2 linked regions of the Macaca mulatta genome follow. Each later gene encodes a partner of the first gene's protein in a complex. Links are inferred from orthologs where the notes say so. Each region holds a gene or a part of one and is shown in the gene's direction. Other genes may lie near its edges.

Region 1 (9,759 bases):
CTCCAATCACAGAACAGCTTTGTGGCACTGAAAGGGGGAGAGCCAGGATCTCCTGATTTCTGTTCCTGTGTTCATACATTTTTTTTCCTTAATAGTAAACATATCAAGATGGTCCTTATTTTTTTAAAATAAGATGATTAAAATTAAAGATTAATAAGCTCGTAGGAGATGCTCAGAAGTACTGAACAGGTTGAAGAAAACTAAAAACTAACCATCTTATTAACATTTCTTATATTTGAGAGCATTTCCTTCTGGTTCTTTCTCTATACATATAGTATTTTTTATGAGATTGTTACCATGTTAGTATGTTGTGTGTGGATGAGCTAGCCTGTTTTTTAAATGTTACTTTAGTTCTGAGCATTTTTAAACTGAAATGTTTTTGAATATTAATGAGTTTGTGGTATCCCATCACATGGAAGTACTGTAAATTCTGTTCCTTTATTTATGTTGTTTCTGGTTTATGCCATTACAAATTCTAGGACACTGTCCTAGTTTTGTAGAATCAGTTTATGTTCTTACCACTAGTATCTGATAGTGCCATCTTCGCACTTTTGCTAATGCTGACTTACTAGTTTATAAAATCCTTTGCCAATTTGTAGGAACAAAAGTGATACCAATTTTTAAGTTTTTTTTAATACTAGTCATGCTCAACAGTTTGTGCAAATGGCTGTTGGCAGTTGTGCCATCTTCGACGTGGGTACCTTCCAGTTGTTTGGTTTCTTTGGTAAAACTCACAGAACAGATGGAGAAGAGTTTGTGTATCAACATGAGTGTCAATGTGTTTTTTTTAAGCAAACGAACACATTTGTGTTCCTTGTGAGATCCTTTGCATGAATTTGTCGGTAATTTTTTTGACCTGAATGTTTTCATAATAGCTTGAGTTTGCACGATGCAGCCTTGTCATTTTGCAGATTTTCGAGGCTCACTTCAAAAACACGGCCCTTGAGGCTATTACATTTCTTTCCTAAATTGTCTATTCATGTGGTGCTTTCAAAAATTAGATTACTTTTAGTAGATTTATTAGAGCTCTTTAGTTTTTTTCCCCACAGTTTAGAGTCAGTAGTCAATTAAAGTCCCTACTTAAATTTCAGACTTTAAGATTTTTTTTTTAATTTAAAATTTTATTTTTTTATTTTTTCTTTTTGCTTTCATGCAGACAGACATCTCGTAAGACTTTAAGATTCTTGGGCCATTTTCTGTCAGGTTGTTCTGTGTTCTGTGCCTGCTTCCTCCCCATAGGAATTTCCAAATTGCTATCCTCACCTCTATTAGGTTTCCAAAATCAAACTTGGGCTTCTGGCTAGCCTTTTCTAGGTCTTGATTTTTCAGTGCTTTCCAGAGGCAATTGTTTGGAACCTCTTGGCACAATTTGTTTCTTCTTCCATGTACAGGCATAAAAGGTCTTTTGGTGGTTTTCTGGTAAAACTGTCATAAAACAGTTCAAGCAAATGACTGTTGGTAGTTTTGCCATTAACATGGGTGCCTTCTAGTTGTGTGGCTTCCTGGTAAAACACAGAACAGGCGGAGCAGATAGTTTACATCAGCATGAGTGTTGATGTGCTTTTTGTTTTAAGCCAAGGAACACATTTTGTGTTATTTGTGAGATCCTTTCCATGAATTTGTCAGGTGATTTTTGAGCTGAACATTCGCAGTAATAGCTTTAGTTTACAAAATACAACCTAGTCTTTCTGCAGATTTTCTAGACCCACTTCAAATGCATTGACCATCAGATGGCATCTTGGTTCCTTACGTCCTTTCTGTGACTGAATGTCCATAATTCCACATCATACTGATCTTTCTTAGAAAAGGCACCAGCTACTTTCTTCTTTATTCCTTTTTTAATGCTTGTGAGGTAGTTGTTCTTGTTGATCACGCGATGCTATTCTCTTATTCTTCATGTCATATTTAGCAGTTTTTTTCTAGTTTGTCATTTGATAATCTTGATTGGTGTATTTTGATGTACAGAAATTTAAAATTTATGTAGTTAAATCTTTCTTTAATTTCTATTGTTTTTGTATTTATAGCTCTTGCCTAGATAGTCTTAACTGTAGTATAGACTTTAACAGTGTTTTCTTTATTTTCTTTTTTTTTTTTTAGTTGCAACTACTGGCCCTTCAGTATATTATAGTCAGTCACCAGCATATAATTCCCAGTATCTTCTCAGACCAGCAGCTAATGTTACTCCCACAAAGGTAACAAAGGAATAATTTATACATTTATAATTATTTCCATTTTAAATTGTTTAGGGTTCCTTCAAAGAAATTCAAGAAAGCAGTTCAGTATTAAAACTTTTATGTCCCTTAAGGTGTAGATAATTTAAATTTATCTCCAGATATAGAAATTATACTTCTTAGTCACCTTTTGTGTTACAATAAGTGTGAATATTTAGAATATTTTAAAAATGGGAGTGGTAGTGGTGGATCCTTCATCATTCTGTTTTAACAGAAATAGAACTACAATGCCCTTGCTGACCCACTATGTGGTAAGTACTTTCAGGCCTGATACAGCTATATATATAACAATTGATTGAAGACTCAAAATTACAGTGGTAGTTGAATGTGATAGCTTTGAGGACAGAGTGATGGGGTGCATTTAGACCCTTGCTCTTCTGCTTATTTTGACCACAGGCAAGTTTCTTAACCTCTCAATGCATCAGTTGCCTCATATGTAAAATGAGGATAATAATAATACCTTAATTCATAGGGTTTTTGAGGATATTAAAATGAGATAATAATGTAAAGTGCTTAGAATAGTGCCCAGCTGGCACATTAATAAATGCTCAATAAATGTTACCATCATCATCATCATCATCATTATTAACATCATTTGATAAATTGTTTAGGAATGAAGATGGTATTTATTTTATGACTTTAGTTGTAGATTTTAAGATGCTGTAATTAATTTTCATTATATGCCAAGTATATATGCAAGTATCTTTGTAGCAATGTGGTTTTCTCTTAACCTATTTATGCCTAGTGTTCCATTATTGGAACACTAAGCTTTTGGGAGTTATTTATATCTTACTGCTCAGGGTCATTGCCAAGGTCTGATTTTTCACACAGAAAATTTGCAGCCTCTGGCATAAACGGGTTAATGATGTGTACTACATCCCCTAATGATATCTTCTTCACTTAATATTCATGTTTGAAGTTTGTGAGAATTGGTTTGCATTTAGTTATCTGTAGTTTTGTAGACAATCTACAAAATGTTTTAACTTTCTGTCTTCTAGGGCCCAGTCTATGGCATGAATAGGCTTCCACCCCAACAGCATATTTATGCCTATCCGCAACAGATGCACACACCACCAGTGCAAAGCTCATCTGCTTGTATGTTCTCTCAGGAGATGTATGGTCCTCCTGCATTGCGTTTTGAGTCTCCTGCAACAGGAATTCTATCGCCCAGGGGTGATGATTACTTTAATTACAATGTTCAGCAGACAAGCACAAATCCACCTTTGCCAGAACCAGGATATTTCACAAAACCTCCAATTGCAGCTCATGCTTCAAGATCTGCAGAATCTAAGACTATAGAATTTGGGAAAACTAATTTTGTTCAGCCCATGCCAGGTGAAGGAATAAGGCCATCTTTGCCAACACCAGCACACACAACACAGCCACCTCCTTTTAAATTTAACTCAAATTTCAAATCAAATGATGGTGACTTCACATTTTCCTCACCACAGGTTGTGACACAGCCCCCTCCTGCAGCTTACAGTAACAGTGAAAGCCTTTTAGGTCTCCTGACTTCAGATAAACCCTTGCAAGGAGATGGCTATAGTGGACCCAAACCAGTTCCTGGTGGTCAGACCATTGGGCCTCGAAATACATTCAATTTTGGAAGCAAAAATGTGTCTGGAATTTCGTTTACAGAAAACATGGGGTCAGCTCAGCAAAAGAATTCTGGTTTTCGGCGAAGTGATGATATGTTTACTTTCCGTGGTCCAGGGAAATCAGTATTTGGAACACCCACTTTAGAGACAGCAAACAAGAACCATGAGACAGATGGAGGAAGTGCCCATGGGGATGATGATGATGATGGTCCTCACTTTGAGCCTGTAGTACCTCTTCCTGATAAGATTGAAGTAAAAACTGGTGAGGAAGATGAAGAAGAATTCTTTTGCAACCGTGCGAAATTGTTCCGTTTTGATGTAGAATCCAAAGAATGGAAGGAACGTGGGATTGGCAATGTAAAAATACTGAGGCATAAAACATCTGGTAAAATTCGCCTTCTAATGAGACGAGAGCAAGTGTTGAAAATCTGTGCAAATCATTATATCAGTCCAGATATGAAATTGACACCAAATGCTGGATCAGACAGATCTTTTGTCTGGCATGCCCTTGATTATGCAGATGAGTTGCCAAAACCAGAACAACTTGCTATTAGGTTCAAAACTCCTGAGGAAGCAGCACTTTTTAAGTGCAAGTTTGAAGAAGCCCAGAGCATTTTAAAAGCCCCAGGAACAAATGTAGCCACAGCATCAAATCAGGCTATCAGAATTGTAAAAGAACCCACAAGTCATGATAGCAAGGATATTTGCAAATCTGATGCTGGAAACATGAATTTTGAATTTCAAGTTGGAAAGAAAGAAGGGTCTTGGTGGCATTGTAACAGCTGCTCATTAAAGAATGCTGCAACTGCTAAGAAATGTGTATCATGCCAAAATCTAAACCCAAGCAATAAAGAACTCGTTGGCCCACCATTAGCTGAAACTGTTTTTACTCCTAAAACTGGCCCAGAGAATATTCAAGATCGATTTGCATTGATGACTCCAAAGAAAGAAGGTCACTGGGATTGTAGTATTTGTTTAGTAAGAAATGAACCTACTGTATCTAGGTGCATTGCGTGTCAGAACACAAAATCTGCTAACAAAAGTGGATCTTCATTTGTTCATCAGGCTTCATTTACATTTGGCCAGGGAGATCTTCCTAAACCTGTTAACAGTGACTTCAGATCTGTTTTTTCTACAAAGGAAGGACAGTGGGAGTGCAGTGTATGTTTGGTACAAAATGAGGGGAGCTCTACAAAATGTGCTGCTTGTCTGAATCCGAGAAAACAGAGTCTACCTGCTACTGCTATTCCAACACCTGCCTCTTTTAAGTTTGGTACTTCAGAGACAAGTAAAACTTCAAAAAGTGGATTTGAGGACATGTTTGCTAAGAAGGAAGGACAGTGGGATTGCAGTTCATGCTTAGTGCGAAATGAAGCAAATGCTACAAGATGTGTTGCTTGTCAGAATCCAGATAAACCAAGTCCATCTACTTCTGTTTCAGCTCCTGCCTCTTTTAAGTTTGGTACTTCAGAGACAAGCAAGGCTCCAAAGAGCGGATTTGAGGGAATGTTCACTAAGAAGGAAGGACAATGGGATTGTAGTGTGTGCTTAGTAAGAAATGAAGCCAGTGCCACCAAATGTATTGCGTGTCAGAATCCAGGTAAACAAAATCAAACTGCTTCTGCAATTTCAACACCTGCCTCTTCAGAGACAAGCAAGGCTCCAAAGAGCGGATTTGAGGGAATGTTCACTAAGAAGGAAGGACAATGGGATTGCAGTGTGTGCTTACTAAGAAATGAAGCCAGTGCTACCAAATGTATTGCTTGTCAGAATCCAGGTAAACAAAATCAGACTACTACTGCAATTTCAACACCTGCCTCTTCAGAGACAAGCAAGGCTCCAAAGAGTGGATTTGAGGGAATGTTCACTAAGAAGGAAGGACAGTGGGATTGCAGTATGTGCTTAGTAAGAAATGAAGCCAGTGCTACCAAATGTATTGCTTGTCAGTATCCAAGTAAACAAAATCAAACAACTGCAATTTCAACACCTACCTCTTCGGAGGTAAGCAAGGCTCCAAAGAGTGGATTTGAAGGAATGTTCATCAAGAAAGGACAGTGGGATTGTAGTGTTTGCTGTGTACAAAATGAGAGTTCTTCCTTAACATGTGTGGCTTGTGATGCCTCTAAACCAACTCATAAACCTATTGCAGAAGCTCCTTCAGCTTTCACATTGGGCTCAGAAATGAAGTTGCATGACTCTTCTGGAAGTCAGGTGGGAACAGGATTTAAAAGTAATTTCTCAGAAAAAGCTTTTAAGTTTGGCAATACAGAGCAAGGATTCAAATTTGGGCATGTGGATCAAGAAAATTCACCTTCATTTATGTTTCAGGGTTCTTCTAATACAGAATTTAAGTCAACCAAAGAAGGATTTTCCATCCCTGTGTCTGCTGATGGATTTAAATTTGGCATTTCGGAACCAGGGAATCAAGAAAAGAAAAGTGAAAAGCCTCTTGAAAATGATTCTGGCTTCCAGGCTCAGGATATTAGTAGCCAGAAGAATGGTAGTGGTGTGATTTTTGGTCAAACAAGTAGCACTTTTACATTTGCAGATCTTGCAAAATCAACCTCAGGAGAAGGATTTCAGTTTGGCAAAAAAGACCCCAATTTCAAGGGATTTTCAGGTGCTGGAGAAAAATTATTCTCATCACAATGTGGTAAAATGGCCGATAAAGCAAACACTTCTGGTGACTTTGAGAAAGATGATGATGCCTATAAGACTGAGGACAGTGATGACATCCATTTTGAACCAGTAGTTCAAATGCCTGAAAAAGTAGAACTTGTAACAGGAGAAGAAGATGAAAAAGTTTTGTATTCACAGCGGGTAAAACTATTTAGGTTTGATGCTGAGATAAGTCAGTGGAAAGAAAGGGGCTTGGGGAACTTAAAAATTCTCAAAAATGAGGTCAATGGCAAACTAAGAATGCTGATGCGAAGAGAACAAGTACTAAAAGTGTGTGCTAATCATTGGATAACGACTACGATGAATCTGAAGCCTCTCTCTGGATCAGACAGAGCATGGATGTGGTTAGCCAGTGATTTCTCTGATGGTGATGCCAAACTAGAGCAGTTGGCAGCAAAATTTAAAACACCAGAGCTGGCTGAAGAATTCAAGCAGAAGTTTGAGGAATGCCAGCGGCTTCTGTTAGACATACCACTTCAAACTCCCCATAAACTTGTAGATACTGGCAGAGCTGCCAAGTTAATACAGAGAGCTGAAGAAATGAAGAGTGGACTGAAAGATTTCAAGACATTTTTGACAAATGATCAAACAAAAGTCACTGAAGAAGAGAATAAGAATTCAGGTACAGGTTCTGCCAGTGCCTCAGACACAACAATAAAACCCAATCCCGAAAACACTGGGCCCACATTAGAATGGGATAACTATGATTTAAGGGAAGATGCTTTGGATGATAGTGTTAGTAGTAGCTCAGTACATGCTTCTCCATTGGCAAGTAGCCCTGTGAGAAAAAATCTTTTCCGCTTTGGTGAGTCAACAACAGGATTTAACTTCAGTTTTAAATCTGCTTTGAGTCCATCTAAGTCTCCTGCCAAGTTGAATCAGAGTGGGACATCAGTTGGCACTGATGAAGAATCTGATGTTACTCAAGAAGAAGAGAGAGATGGACAGTACTTTGAACCTGTTGTTCCTTTACCTGATCTAGTTGAAGTATCCAGTGGTGAGGAAAATGAACAAGTTGTTTTTAGTCACAGGGCAAAACTCTACAGATACGATAAAGATGTTGGTCAGTGGAAAGAAAGGGGCATTGGTGATATAAAGATTTTACAGAATTATGATAATAAGCAAGTTCGTATAGTGATGAGAAGAGACCAAGTATTAAAACTTTGTGCCAATCACAGAATAACTCCAGACATGACTTTGCAAAATATGAAAGGGACAGAAAGAGTATGGGTGTGGACTGCATGTGATTTTGCAGATGGAGAAAGAAAAGTAGAGCATTTAGCTGTTCGTTTTAAACTACAGGATGTTGCAGACTCATTTAAGAAAATTTTTGATGAAGCAAAAACAGCCCAGGAAAAAGATTCTTTGATAACACCTCATGTTTCTCGGTCAGGCACTCCCAGAGAGTCACCATGTGGCAAAATTGCTGTAGCTGTATTAGAAGAGACCACAAGAGAGAGGACAGATGTTATTCAGGGTGATGATGTAGCAGATGCAACTTCAGAAGTTGAAGTGTCTAGCACATCTGAAACAACAACAAAAGCAGTGGTTTCTCCTCCAAAGTTTGTATTTGGTTCAGAGTCTGTTAAAAGCATTTTTAGTAGTGAAAAATCAAAACCATTTGCATTTGGCAACAGTTCAGCCACTGGGTCTTTGTTTGGATTTAGTTTTAATGCACCTTTGAAAAGTAACAATAGCGAAACTAGTTCAGTAGCCCAGAGTGGATCTGAAAGCAAAGTGGAACCTAACAAATGTGAACTGTCAAAGAACTCTGATACCGAACAGTCTTCAGATAGCAAAGTCAAAAATCTCTTTGCTTCCTTTCCAACGGAAGAATCTTCAATCAATTACACATTTAAAACACCAGAAAAGGGTAAGTACTTTGTTGTTAAAGTTAAGCACAATTTTTCTTTTAATGTTTAACTTGATGCACTCTTTGTAGAATACTAATGTTGGGATATAAACGATGCTTTGTGAACACCCCCAAAATATTTGAGCAATATATTTTTCTCCCTTAATAAGTTCACGGTGAGGTTTCAAAGAGCAACAGAACTTAGTTTAAGACATTTCAGTAACTGGAAGATACTTCTTTCATGCTAGGGCAGAGCAAAAGAACTCAGTACAGTGTACGGACTCATGCTTGAATCATGCGCGTTAACGAGTCTTTTTTTAAAAAAAAGTTTTCATTTTCATTTGTTCAGTTTGTCACTCAGAAAACATGATACTGAGGCCGGGCACAGTGGCTCATGCCTAGAATCCCAGCACTTTCGGAGGTTGAAGTAGGCAGATCGCTTAAGCTCAGGAGTTCGAGACCAGCCTGGCCAACATGGTGAAACCCTGTTTCTACTGAAAATACAAAAATTAGCCGGGCATGGTGGTGCGTGCCTAGAATTAGCAGCTACTCAGGAGATTGAGGCAGGAGGATCACTTGACACAGGAGATGGAGGTAGCAGTGAGCTGAAATCATGCCACTGCACTCCAGCCTGGCTGGGTGACAGAGTGAGACTTTGTCTCCAAAAAAAAAAAAAAAAGAACATGATACTGAGATGTTCTCATTTTATATGTTGTATGTTAGTCTTGCTCATTTATTAAATGAGCAAAGAATGAAACTACAGGGGTAAATGAATATATAAGACAATCAGATTGGTGGTATAAATTGAGGGATTCTGGCTTTTTATGTTTTAAAAGCATATTCATTTTGTTTCCCAAAATGTTAAAAAATGAAATATTCTTCATTTTCTAGGATTTAATTTTAGCCTTTTTAAATCTAATCCCATGGCCTTTTGGACTAGCACCCCTTCCTCACAGCCTGAGAACAAAGGTATAGAACTAGCATTCTCAGTATGAGATAACAGCAGTTTTTAGCAGCTGGTAGCCCTTAGCAAAGTATTAATAACTGTGGCTGTATGAAATTAAGTACTTAACACTACAACATGCATGTTAAAGAATGCCAGTTTAAGCAAAGCACCTTTTGACTGGTGGCATGACATCCTTTATTTTTGGTTTGTTTTTTAAAATATACTGGGATGCTGATTTGTAATGTACTTCATTACTCTGTTATTTCAAGTCTGCTCAATGAAGACCTATGTTTTATCTAATGTTTATCTTTAGCCACTAACGTCTGCCAGTATTCAAATGTATTGGCAACGGCATGTATACAATATGGAAGAGTGTCCCTGTAGGGCTGTTCTTTTGTGCACGGTTTAGAAAAATGTTGTATTTGAAAATGGACCCCATTTTTAACAGCCAGC
Region 2 (10,544 bases), on another chromosome or scaffold:
CAAAAGCCAAAATAGACAAATGGGATGTAATTAAAGAGCTTCTGCACATCAAAACAAACTACCATCAGAGTGAACAGGCAACCTACAGGATGGGAGAAAATTTTTGCAATCTACCCATCTGACAAAGGGCTAATATCCACAATCTACAAAGAGCTTAAATTTACAAGAAAAACACAAACAACCCCATCAAGAAGTGGGCAAAGGATATGAACAGACACGTCACAAAAGAAGACATTTATACAGCCAACAGACACGTGAAACATGCTCATCATCACTGGTCATCAGAGAAATGCAAACCAAAACCACAATGAGATACCATCTCACACCAGTTAGAATGGTGATCATTAAAAAGTCAGGAAACAACAGATACTGGAGAGGATGTGGAGAAATAGGAATGCTTTTACACTGTTGGTGGCAGTGCAAATTAGTTCAACCATTGTGGAAGACAGTGTGGTGTTTCCTCAAGGATCCACAACTAGAAATACCATTTGACCCAGTGATCCCATTATGGGTATATATACCAAATGATTATAAATAATGCTACTATAAAGACACATGCACACGTATGTTTATTGTGGCACTACTCACAACAGCAATGACTTGGAACCAACCCAAATGTCTATCAATGATAGACTGGATTAAGAAAATGTGGCACATATACACCATGGAATACTATGCAGCCATAAAAAAGGATGAGTTCATGTCCTTTGCTGGGATATGGATGAAGCTGGAAACCATCATTCTCAGCAAACTATCACAAGGACAGAAAACCAAACACCGCATGTTCTCACTCATAGGTAGGAACTGAACAATAAGACTACTTGGACACAGGGCAGGGAACATCACACATGGGGCCTGTCAGAGGGTAGGGGGTTGGGGGAAGGATAGCATTAGGAGAAATACCTAATGTAAATGACGAGTTGATGGGTGCAGCAATCCAACATGGCACATGTATACATATGTAACAAATCTGCACGTTGTGCACGTGTACCCTAGAACTTAAAGTATAATAATTTAAAAAAAAAAAAATGTCACCTTGCAGCCACTGGCCTCATTAATCCTAATCGGAGTATTTTCTTTCCCATATCACATCTTAAAAGGGAGGCCTTACTTTTGCTCCTACAGGACTACTGCTTTGCTGTATCTTCTCTAAGAAACACATCCATAATGAAGGTGTGTGCCACCTCAGGTGAAGCGAGAAGAGAGAAGCAAGTTAGCCCAACCTCCTCCTTCCTGCTGGGGAACATTCCAACCACTGATTCCTGGAGGCAAAAGGAGAGAACAAGACAACATTCTGTTTCAAACTAGAGACAGAGATGAGTGTCCCCTCCTTCTAAAAAGAAGTGTGACATCTTCATAAAGGGGAAAGGCTGTCAGAGCCCCTCACTTGTACAAGGTCCAGTGCAGGAAGCTAGAATGTGGCCACTGAGAGCTCATCACTTCAGTCCACGGACAGACAATGCCAGGCAAAGTGCCCTTCTCCCAAACACCTCAGTAGAGTCTGGCTATCCAAGGAATGCCAAGTAATGTTTCTTAGAACTTTCTTTGGAATCCTGAAATGGTGGCCTGAGCCTTGGATTATAAAAGAGGATTCCCCTATTTCTCATCACCTCATGCCTCATGCTTGGCTTCCTCTGCAGGACTGGGCCAGAAGATCAGATGGAAAGAGAAGGATTCACCTGAGGCAGCACACACCTTCGTTATGGATATATTTCTTAGAGAAAATACAGCAAAGCAGGAGTTCTGTAGGAACAAAAATAAAGCCTCCCTTTCAGAATTCAAAGATGTGATATGGGAAAGAAAATACCCAGATTAGGATTAGTGAGGCCAAGAGCTCAGAGGTCATTTCTCTTCACAGGTGTCAGTTTAGCCTTGATTATGCTGGGGCAACCCAGCTCGACCTTGTCCTTCCATGGACCTGCGGTGTCCATGTTTCCACCAGTTGTTTGTTTCTCTATTTACTTTTAGGACAAAAAAAGTCCCCAGCTTTTATTTTGTGGTAGACCTCTCAGAAACCCATCAGCATGCCTGTGAGCTTAGCTTATGCTGCTCCTCTGCATGGAATACCTTCTCTCTCCTCTCCACGGTGACTGCCTCCTCTTCCTTCAAGGCCTAGTTGAACTGCACCCTCTGTGAAACCTCCTCCCCCTCTCCAGGAAAGGTGAGTCACTTCCACAGCACCTGTTTCTGCTCTCATCCTCACACTCAGCACCCTGTAGGACCCCACGAGCCCCTGGAGGCCCAGCAGGCAGTCTGGAATGGAAGATGGGTTTGAGTGATTTATCATGCTGCCACTGGCCCTGAGGCCTTATCTGTAAAACAGCATTCTTCTCGCCTACCTCAGAGCCACTGTGAGGCTCAAACAAACCCCCAGGGTTAAAGTGGGAGCGGTAACTTGTAAAAGAACCCCCAGGTGTCACCTCATTCATTGATTTCCTCATTCACAAGGCACCAAATGCCAGTCACTACCAGGCAGAAGCTGACAAAGACACAGTGCTGACCTTCAAGGAGCCCACCATCTAGGGTGGGAGACAGGAGCAAGCAAAAAGTCACAGAAATGCGTTTCCACTCTGATGAGGGCAAGCCCAGAGCACCAATGCAGGCTGCTGGCTCAGGGAAGCCTGCCCCAACTAGGAGATCCCTAAGCTGACTTCAAAAGACCCCAGAAGAGTGAGTAAAACAGAGGGCATGGTGTCCTGAAAGACATTCCATGGCCAGGGGTAGGAAGGACAAAGCAATGGCACAGAGCCACAGAGCGAGCATGTTTTTATAACTGTGACAAGTTGTGTCACAGCAAGTGTGAAGCAAGATCGGGAGCAAAGTTGAGAACATGTGGGGCCTGTGTGCCAAGCTAGGGAGTTACAAGGGGGGAAAGATGGTGGAGCCCCCAGAAGTTGGAAGCAGGAGTGAGTGTTGCGATTGGAAAGATCACCTTGGCTGCAGTGTGGGGAAGAGATTTTGGACAAGTCTAAGGCTCCAGGCACGGCGGGTAGGGGGAATGACAAGAGCAAATCAGAGACGAGAACTACATTTGACCCCTGAACAATGTGGGAGTTGGGGCACTGAGCCCCAAAGTAAAAAATCCACATATAACTTTTGACTCACCTAAAACTTTACCAATATAACTTGCTGTTGGCTGGAAGCCTCACCAATAATGTAAACAGCTGATTAACAAGTATTTTCTGCGTTACATCCATTACATATTGTGTTCCAGCAATAAATTAAGCTAGAGAAAAGAAAATGTTACTATGAAATTGTAAGGAAGAGAAAATATATTTACTATTCATTGAGTGAAAGCGGGTCATCATGGTCTCCGTCCTCATGGTCTTCACACTGAGTAGGCTGAGAAGGAAGATGAGGAGGAGTTGATCTAGCAGCTCAGGGGTAGCAGAGATGAGAAAAAACCTGCCTGTAAGTGAACTCACAAGGTTCAAACCCATGTTGTTCAGGGGTCAACTGTAATACTGCCTGAAGACCTGCTCAACATCAGGCCACTTTACATATAAGTACCTCATCCCATTGAGATGCAAAAGTATCCCATCAGGTAGACAGTACTGGCCTCACTCGACAAATAAGAAACAGGCTCAGAGAGGTTAAGCGACTTGCCCAAGGTCACACAGCCTGCACAGAACTTGTGTTTGTCCCTTGTACTCTGTCAGGCTTCCGATCTGCAGGCTGATGGACAGGGAAGCAAAATGTGGAGGGACATTAAGTTAGAAGGGTTAGCAGGGGCAAAACTGGGCAGAGGGATCACAGGCCAGGCTAAGGAGCCCTTTACAGTCCAGGCTCTGAAGGTTTAAGAGCAGGGAGATGCCGTGACCAGAGCTGTTCACTATGAAGATTAACCTGGCAGAGTAGGGAGGACTAGCTAGGTGAGAGGTGGGAAACAGGGGAACTACTCATCAGTTGTCTGACCAAGATTTACTGAGCACCTAATATGTGCCCCTCTCTGTTCCAGGTCCTGGAGTACCAGTAGTGAATACAACCAAGATGCCCGCCCTCAGATAGCCTGCCTTCTAGCGGAGGGACAACAAAGAGCAAAATAAACAAGCAAAATATACAGTAGGTCAGAAGGTGATAAGGACTATTGGAAAAAAAAGCAGAAAAAAAAGCAGAGCAAGGTGAGTGGCCTGTTTGTATTGGGGGCTGCAGTACTTAAATAGGGTGCTTAAGAGGAGGCAGACAGAGAGGACAACTGGGACAAAGATGAGAGGCAGTAGTGTGGCTGGCACATGAGGTTCAACCACAAAGCCAGTGTTCTGGGGCTGAGAGAAGAGTTGTGGAGTGATGGGAGGGGACACGTCGTGCCAAGCTTTGGAGACCATGATGAGAACTCTGGCTCGTACTACTTGGGGGGATGATGATGACCCAAAAATTAGGAGTCTGTTCACTGCTGAAGAGGGCAAAGGGCAGAAGCTCCATTTAAAAGGTTCTAATAAGCCTCAGGCCTTTCTCTGCCTGAAAAACTTACTTTCTGCCCTCTACTTCCCTAGATTACTGCCCCAGTGCCTGGAGGAAAATCAGGTGAAGGCTAAAAGCCACGTAGACAGCTAAAGAGGGCAAACTGGACCTCCAGCTCCACTTCTGCAGGTCTGTCTCAGTCCACACAGCCCTTGCACACGCTCCCTTTTAATTCTCCAAGCATACCTCTCACTTCCAAAACTCCTGTGACTCTGCTGATGAGGGCGTCTCGGCCTGGAATGCTCCTCCTTATCTGCACTGTGTGGGTGTCAAAAAGAGTATATTTTGATGACCTCTCCCCGCCCCTCTTGCTTGCTCACATCCCCTTCACTCCTTTCAAAGTCCGTTCCCAAAGCCCCCAGTTCACCGTCCTGGGCTGTTTTTAGCCAGGTAAGACCTGAAGTGATCCTCTCTTGGAACCTGGTCTGGGGCCTACACATCTGGGTCAGTCTGGGGGTGCTCTCGAAGGGCCACCCTCAAAGAGCGAGCCTCGGCTGGATTCAGTTCCTAGGTCCCAGCCGTCCGACCTCTGCCACAACGCTCAGCAGACCCCTTCCCCTCTCCGGGTCTCAGTTGCCCCGTGAGTACAGTCCCTGCTCCAACACGCAAGGTCAATCGTCTCTGGCTGCTCTGATGCACTCGGTCCCTAACTCAGCCTTAGGTCAGCACAGAAAGCACCCGACCCGGGCGGCCCCGCAGCTCCTCACCCTCCCGCCCCGCCCAGTCGCTGACACAGGGTGGCCTCCAAGGGCAAGGCCACGACTCTTACCCGTCCGCAGGTGCCCCACTGGCTGGCCTCAGCTCGCAAGCAGGCTGCACCCACCGAACTCCAGCCCCGGAACGCCACCCTTTACTCCCCTCCCGCGTGAGCCGAGAATCAGCCGAGCTTCTTCTACCAAGAGGATTGGCCCAGCTCGGCGTCGGCTCAGCCAATTGGCGCTCACGGCTTGATCTTGCCCAATAAAGACAGGTCTCTGTCCCCAGCGTGCCCCTCCCCGCGCTGGGCCTGGGCTTTGCCAGGTTAGTCCCACCCTCTTCGGCCCTGCACCAGTAGGGAGCGGCGGCGGCGAGCGGACGCCCAATGGGGAGCGGGGCTGTGCGCGCGGGGCGGTGGGAGCGGCGCCGAATCAGTGTACACGTCGGTTGCCTAACAACCGGCCGTGGACTCCTTTGGCTATGGTGAGTGCTGCCGCTCTGTCGCGCCCCACGCCCAGAGGCTGAGCCCTTCCCAGGCCCCAGCTCGGCCACGCCGCCTCTCCTGCGCCTTTCTCGGCTTTGACGCACCAGTCCTTCCTTTGAGCTCTTTCCCGGAAGAGTAGGGTACAGACGCTAACCAACCTACTGGGCCTGCGCTTTGCTGCTGCCTCCCCTTCACCCACAACAGGCCCACACCCGCCCCTCGGGCTCCCCTGGCCTTCCCTGATCACCTCGGTGAACCTCCCTGGGCAAAAAAGACTCGAATCCCTCACAGGCCCCTGACTTTCTCAGACCTTGGCCCCCTGGCCGCCTCATTCTGCCAAAATTTCCACACAGAGCTGGGAGAAGGTGTATTGTGTTCTATTAAAGTGTTTTTTACAATTTAAATATAGGGGCATTCAGGGGATGCTGTAGCTTCTTGGAGAAGGCACGAAGGTGTCAGATGGATTGAGTTTTATTACTCGATACTGACACAATATACATCTTAACAACTTGCTAATATTTGGCCAAATCTAGAAGTAATTGGGAAGTCAGAGTGCTTACTGGGAAGCGGAGTACTGGGAGTGGGCATTGTAAGGCAGTTTCCAGAACCAGGATCCCCACATTCGGGAAGAGCTGATTATCTCTACTTATTCGCAGTCATTTTCTTGACTAGCTCTCTTTTGGGATGATTTTCAGTAAGAGGTATCCTTACTGAACAAGTGATCTCCCTGCTTCTAGAAACGACAGTAAAGAAAAGGGAGGGATAGAAGTTCATGGAAAGATTCATTGTTCTTGCCAGTAAACCCTGTTATCTTTCTTGTTAAGCAAAGCTTTGGAATTGGTTGCCATAAAATTATTTAAAACTACATATGGGTGTCTGTAACTATGTTATGTAAATATGGACTGTACGATATATTATTGTGCTTGTGTATTGCATAACGTATGAAGGCCTCCAACTTTAAGAAGACAAACATGGCATCAAGTTCCCAGAGAAAAAGAATGAGTCCTAAGCCTGAGCTTACTGAAGAGCAGAAGCAGGAGATCCGGGAAGCTTTTGATCTTTTCGATGCGGATGGAACTGGCACCATAGATGTTAAAGAACTTAAGGCAAGCTCTATGCATTCCTGCCGTACTGCCCTTCCTTTCCTCTGCCTCTTCCTTGTCATCTCCCTATCACCTCTCTACCCCTTTTGCCCTCTTCTCCCTGCAATAAGTAACAGGGGAGGTTGTACTGTGCTCTGTTTTCCTGTCTTTACTTAGAGTATTATTAAATAAAATTGATTGCAAATGTCAATTAGATCAATGTTATAGTGTTCCCCAATCATATTAACATGACCACATCAGATGCTGGCTTAATGCTCTCAACACTGTTGTTTTTGCTGCTGCTAGTTCAGATGTGCTTATTGAGACAATCCTGTTTTCATTATAGGTGGCAATGAGGGCCCTGGGCTTTGAACCTAAGAAAGAAGAAATTAAGAAAATGATAAGTGAAATTGACAAAGAAGGGACAGGAAAAATGAACTTTGGTGACTTTTTAACTGTGATGACCCAGAAAATGGTGAGTAGCTAAGACAATTTGCATGGTATGGCGCCCCAGTCATCTGCAGAGGCCCATGGCATCTGCCTGTTAAAACAGTCATGTGACCACAGAGCAGTCCAGGTAGCAGCTGCATCAGGAGGCCTGCCCTCCCATCATGTTACCTTGGGCTCCCAAAACAAGCCCTTGTACTTCTTTCTCAAGACTTCCAAGCAGATACCTCTTCCCACAGAATTCTAAACCAGTTAGGAAATAGATATGGGATAGGGAGAGATATAGGGATAGGGAGCAAACGTCACCTTGGATGGAGTGCCTGGCTTGACTGGTGTTTCTCTGAGGCCAAAATGGGCTTCCTGACACTTGCTGCAAGTCTAGACTCGAGTTACATTGTTAAAAAGGAAAGGGTGACCTGACCGGGCAGTGGCAGGGCTACAGGACATGAGTAACCATGGTGTCCCCCTACTCATGTGTTTCATGTTCTATTTGGTAAGTCTGAGAAAGATACCAAAGAAGAAATCCTGAAAGCTTTCAAGCTCTTTGATGATGATGAAACTGGGAAGATTTCGTTCAAAAATCTGAAACGCGTGGCCAAGGAGTTGGGTGAGAACCTGACTGATGAGGAGCTGCAGGTTTGTAATGCATCACACTGGAACTTAAGATTCCCACCTTTGGGCCCTCTGTGACTTTTCTGTTACATTTTCCCTAGTGTGAGCACTTCTTTGAAGGAAAGCCAGTGTACTTTGTCCCTCTGTGGACAACTGAATTCTCCTTTAATAGTCAGACAAACCTATGAACGCTGCTTCCAGAAAAATGCACATAGGCACAGTTTTGCCTACTATTTTACATTCCAGGAATCCCTCTAGTCAAGGTAATCTTCAAGCTCCCTCCCAGGTGATAATGTTTGACAAAGTATGAGTTGGTTTTCAAATAAGTTTTCAGGAACCAAGCTATTATCAGGAGTGGCATACTGGCATTGGGTGGACTACAATTATCTATTCACATAGTGTTATTAAAAGTCTATTGCTTGCCAGGCACAGTGGCTCATGCATGTAATCCCAGTACTTTAGGAGGCTGAGGCAGGAGGATCGCTTGGGGCCAATAATTTGAGAGTAGTGTGGGCAGCATAGAGACCCCGTCTCTAAAAAGAGTCATATTACTTAGTCACCTTTTGGCATTAGTTTATAAATTAATCTAACCTGAATCTTTACTGTCATATAGGAAATGATTGATGAAGCTGATCGAGATGGAGATGGAGAGGTCAGTGAGCAAGAGTTCCTGCGCATCATGAAAAAGACCAGCCTCTATTAAGATCAGTGTCTTCTTTTTCTACTGCAAGCACATGTAACTAGATTTAGTGCCTGCCATTGTGTGAAATCTGGCTTTTGAGAATACAAACTTTTCCCCCACTGACCTCCCTTTATCACTTTAATAGTGACCTTGAGTCTATTTTAGCTGTTTGGAAGTGTTCTTTGATATTACAGTTCTTTGTAAAATGACCTGCGAATTACCCTAATTCTCAAAAGCAAAACAAGAGCACATTAGCATGAAGAAAAAGATCTTAAAGCTTTGAGCACCTGCCATTTTGCCTTGCATTGTTTCCCTCTTATCATGCATTTCCACATATCCACAAACACAGGACGACTTTAGACAAGCACATGTTACACTTGTGTCACCACAAGCAGTCATTCTTGAGTGGCTCCAGTTTTTATTTGACACTTGAGTTTAGTTTTCTCTTTAATAAAACCCAGTGAAGTCTTGCACTGGCATTTGGATGTGTGTTAATGCTATTTGTTTTGTCTTAAAAATAAAACCTTTCTCAGTTTGAACTTGTGTTCTCTAAGGATGAGTTCTTTAGCTTTGCTTATGAGTTCCTCTTCTCAACTATTGTGTTGAAGGCAGCCTGTTAGATACAAAACTCCTTACCAGCCTATGGACAGAAATGAATAATCCTTTGCTACTTTCCTGGCGTGAATTGTTTTTTGCCTTGGGAACCTGCTGGTTTGTAAAACTAGCAGAAATTTTATATTAGCTAAGCCTAAATGATGCTCTAAAAATAGTTTTGGCAAAGTGTAAGACTGGAAAAGAGTCTTGTTAGTAATTTGTGCTTGAATAAAATGGGGAGAGCCAGGCTAATCCAACACTAGGATGGATTCAGCCAACCTCTCATGAATTTATTTGCTTATGGTGTCTCATCGACTCTTGGAGGTGGGTTGGGCTGAGGGACCCTGTCCAGCCATCTTCCTGGCCTTGCACGGGATTACCTGTGAGAGAAATCCTGGTAGATGACATGAAAGTCTCTGCTCCAGGTTGAGAGTGGGGAGACAGAAGGGGTAAGGGAGAATAGAAAACGAACAATGATGGAATGCTCATTTGTTCACGTGGAGACAGAGAAAACAGATTTTCAAACTTCTGGGGGTAGGCTAGTCCCCTGGGGATAGGGTTGCACTGATTTAGCTAATAAAAAGAAAGCCTAGGTAAATTTGTATTTCAGATCAACAATGCATTTTTTTTTTTTTGTATGAATATATCCCATTTGGATTTTTTGTTTATTCATTGTTGATCTTAAATGCAAATTTACCTGAGCATCCTGTATTGCCACTGGTAACCCTACCTGGGGAGCACGTTACAGAGGCCAGAAGCCTGGCCCTGGGTCTCATGCCTGGACCCTGACATCCTGTAGGACTTGGGGGCCCAGGAATATGAACTTTACCATATCCCGCAGAGGAGTCTCATGCAGAGGGACTGCTCCTTAAGAAACACTTGGGGGAAGAGCCCAGACTAGCCCCATCACTGGGTTCTCACACACATACTCACCCACTTCCGCGCCGGGCAATTTGGGCCAAGCTACTTCTCTAGGTGCCTGGAGTTTCATGTCTGTGTGATGGGGAGAAGAGTTGTGCCTACTCAGAATCACTGGAGGTGAAATGCAAACTTACAGAAAGGACCTGGCTTGAAGGTGTTCAAGAACAAGAGGATTCAGAAGTGTTCAGTCTCACTCCCATTCCTTTGCTATAGTTATCACATAAGCTTTGTTGTTAAATGTGGGTCCATGAAGCTTTTATCATTACTGTCCCCAAAGTCTGTTGATAGCATTTCCTAAGAGGATTTGACCTTTGTCGTATTGTGATTTTCTAATAAGAGGCATATGATTGGATAAAAGACATAATGTTAGAAAGGAGTGAAAAGACTGGGCCCTGCCTCCGATTTTACTGTTAACTGTAACCCTGGAAACACTCATTTGAAAAAAAGTTAATTAAATGAGATCATGTCCTTTGCAGGGACATGGATGGAGCTGGAAGCCATTATTCTCAGCAAACAAACTCAGGAACAGAAAACCAAACACTGCATGTTCTCACTCATAAGTGGG

Evidence for each region.
Region 2: RANBP2 (region 1) and centrin-2 share a complex: the UniProt entries of both Homo sapiens proteins name them as parts of the nuclear pore complex. The link is inferred for Macaca mulatta from reciprocal best matches to the Homo sapiens genes RANBP2 and CETN2.

What each region holds. Positions count from the first base shown.
Region 1 is NC_133418.1:19,339,041-19,348,799, forward strand, and holds part of RANBP2 (E3 SUMO-protein ligase RanBP2), read left to right. Parts: intron 1-2,097; coding exon 2,098-2,192; intron 2,193-3,229; coding exon 3,230-8,381; intron 8,382-9,251; coding exon 9,252-9,329; intron 9,330-9,759. UniProt on the Homo sapiens protein: E3 SUMO-protein ligase which facilitates SUMO1 and SUMO2 conjugation by UBE2I. Involved in transport factor (Ran-GTP, karyopherin)-mediated protein import via the F-G repeat-containing domain which acts as a docking site for substrates.
Region 2 is NC_133426.1:159,103,875-159,114,418, reverse strand, and holds centrin-2, read left to right. Parts: upstream 1-5,613; 5' UTR 5,614-5,637; coding exon 5,638-5,640; exon of another isoform or gene 5,641-6,006; intron 6,007-6,588; coding exon 6,589-6,747; intron 6,748-7,069; coding exon 7,070-7,198; intron 7,199-7,668; coding exon 7,669-7,806; intron 7,807-8,395; coding exon 8,396-8,485; 3' UTR 8,486-9,003; downstream 9,004-10,544. Other genes in the region: NSDHL (sterol-4-alpha-carboxylate 3-dehydrogenase, decarboxylating), read right to left, coding at 1,036-1,085. UniProt on the Homo sapiens protein: Plays a fundamental role in microtubule organizing center structure and function. Required for centriole duplication and correct spindle formation. Has a role in regulating cytokinesis and genome stability via cooperation with CALM1 and CCP110.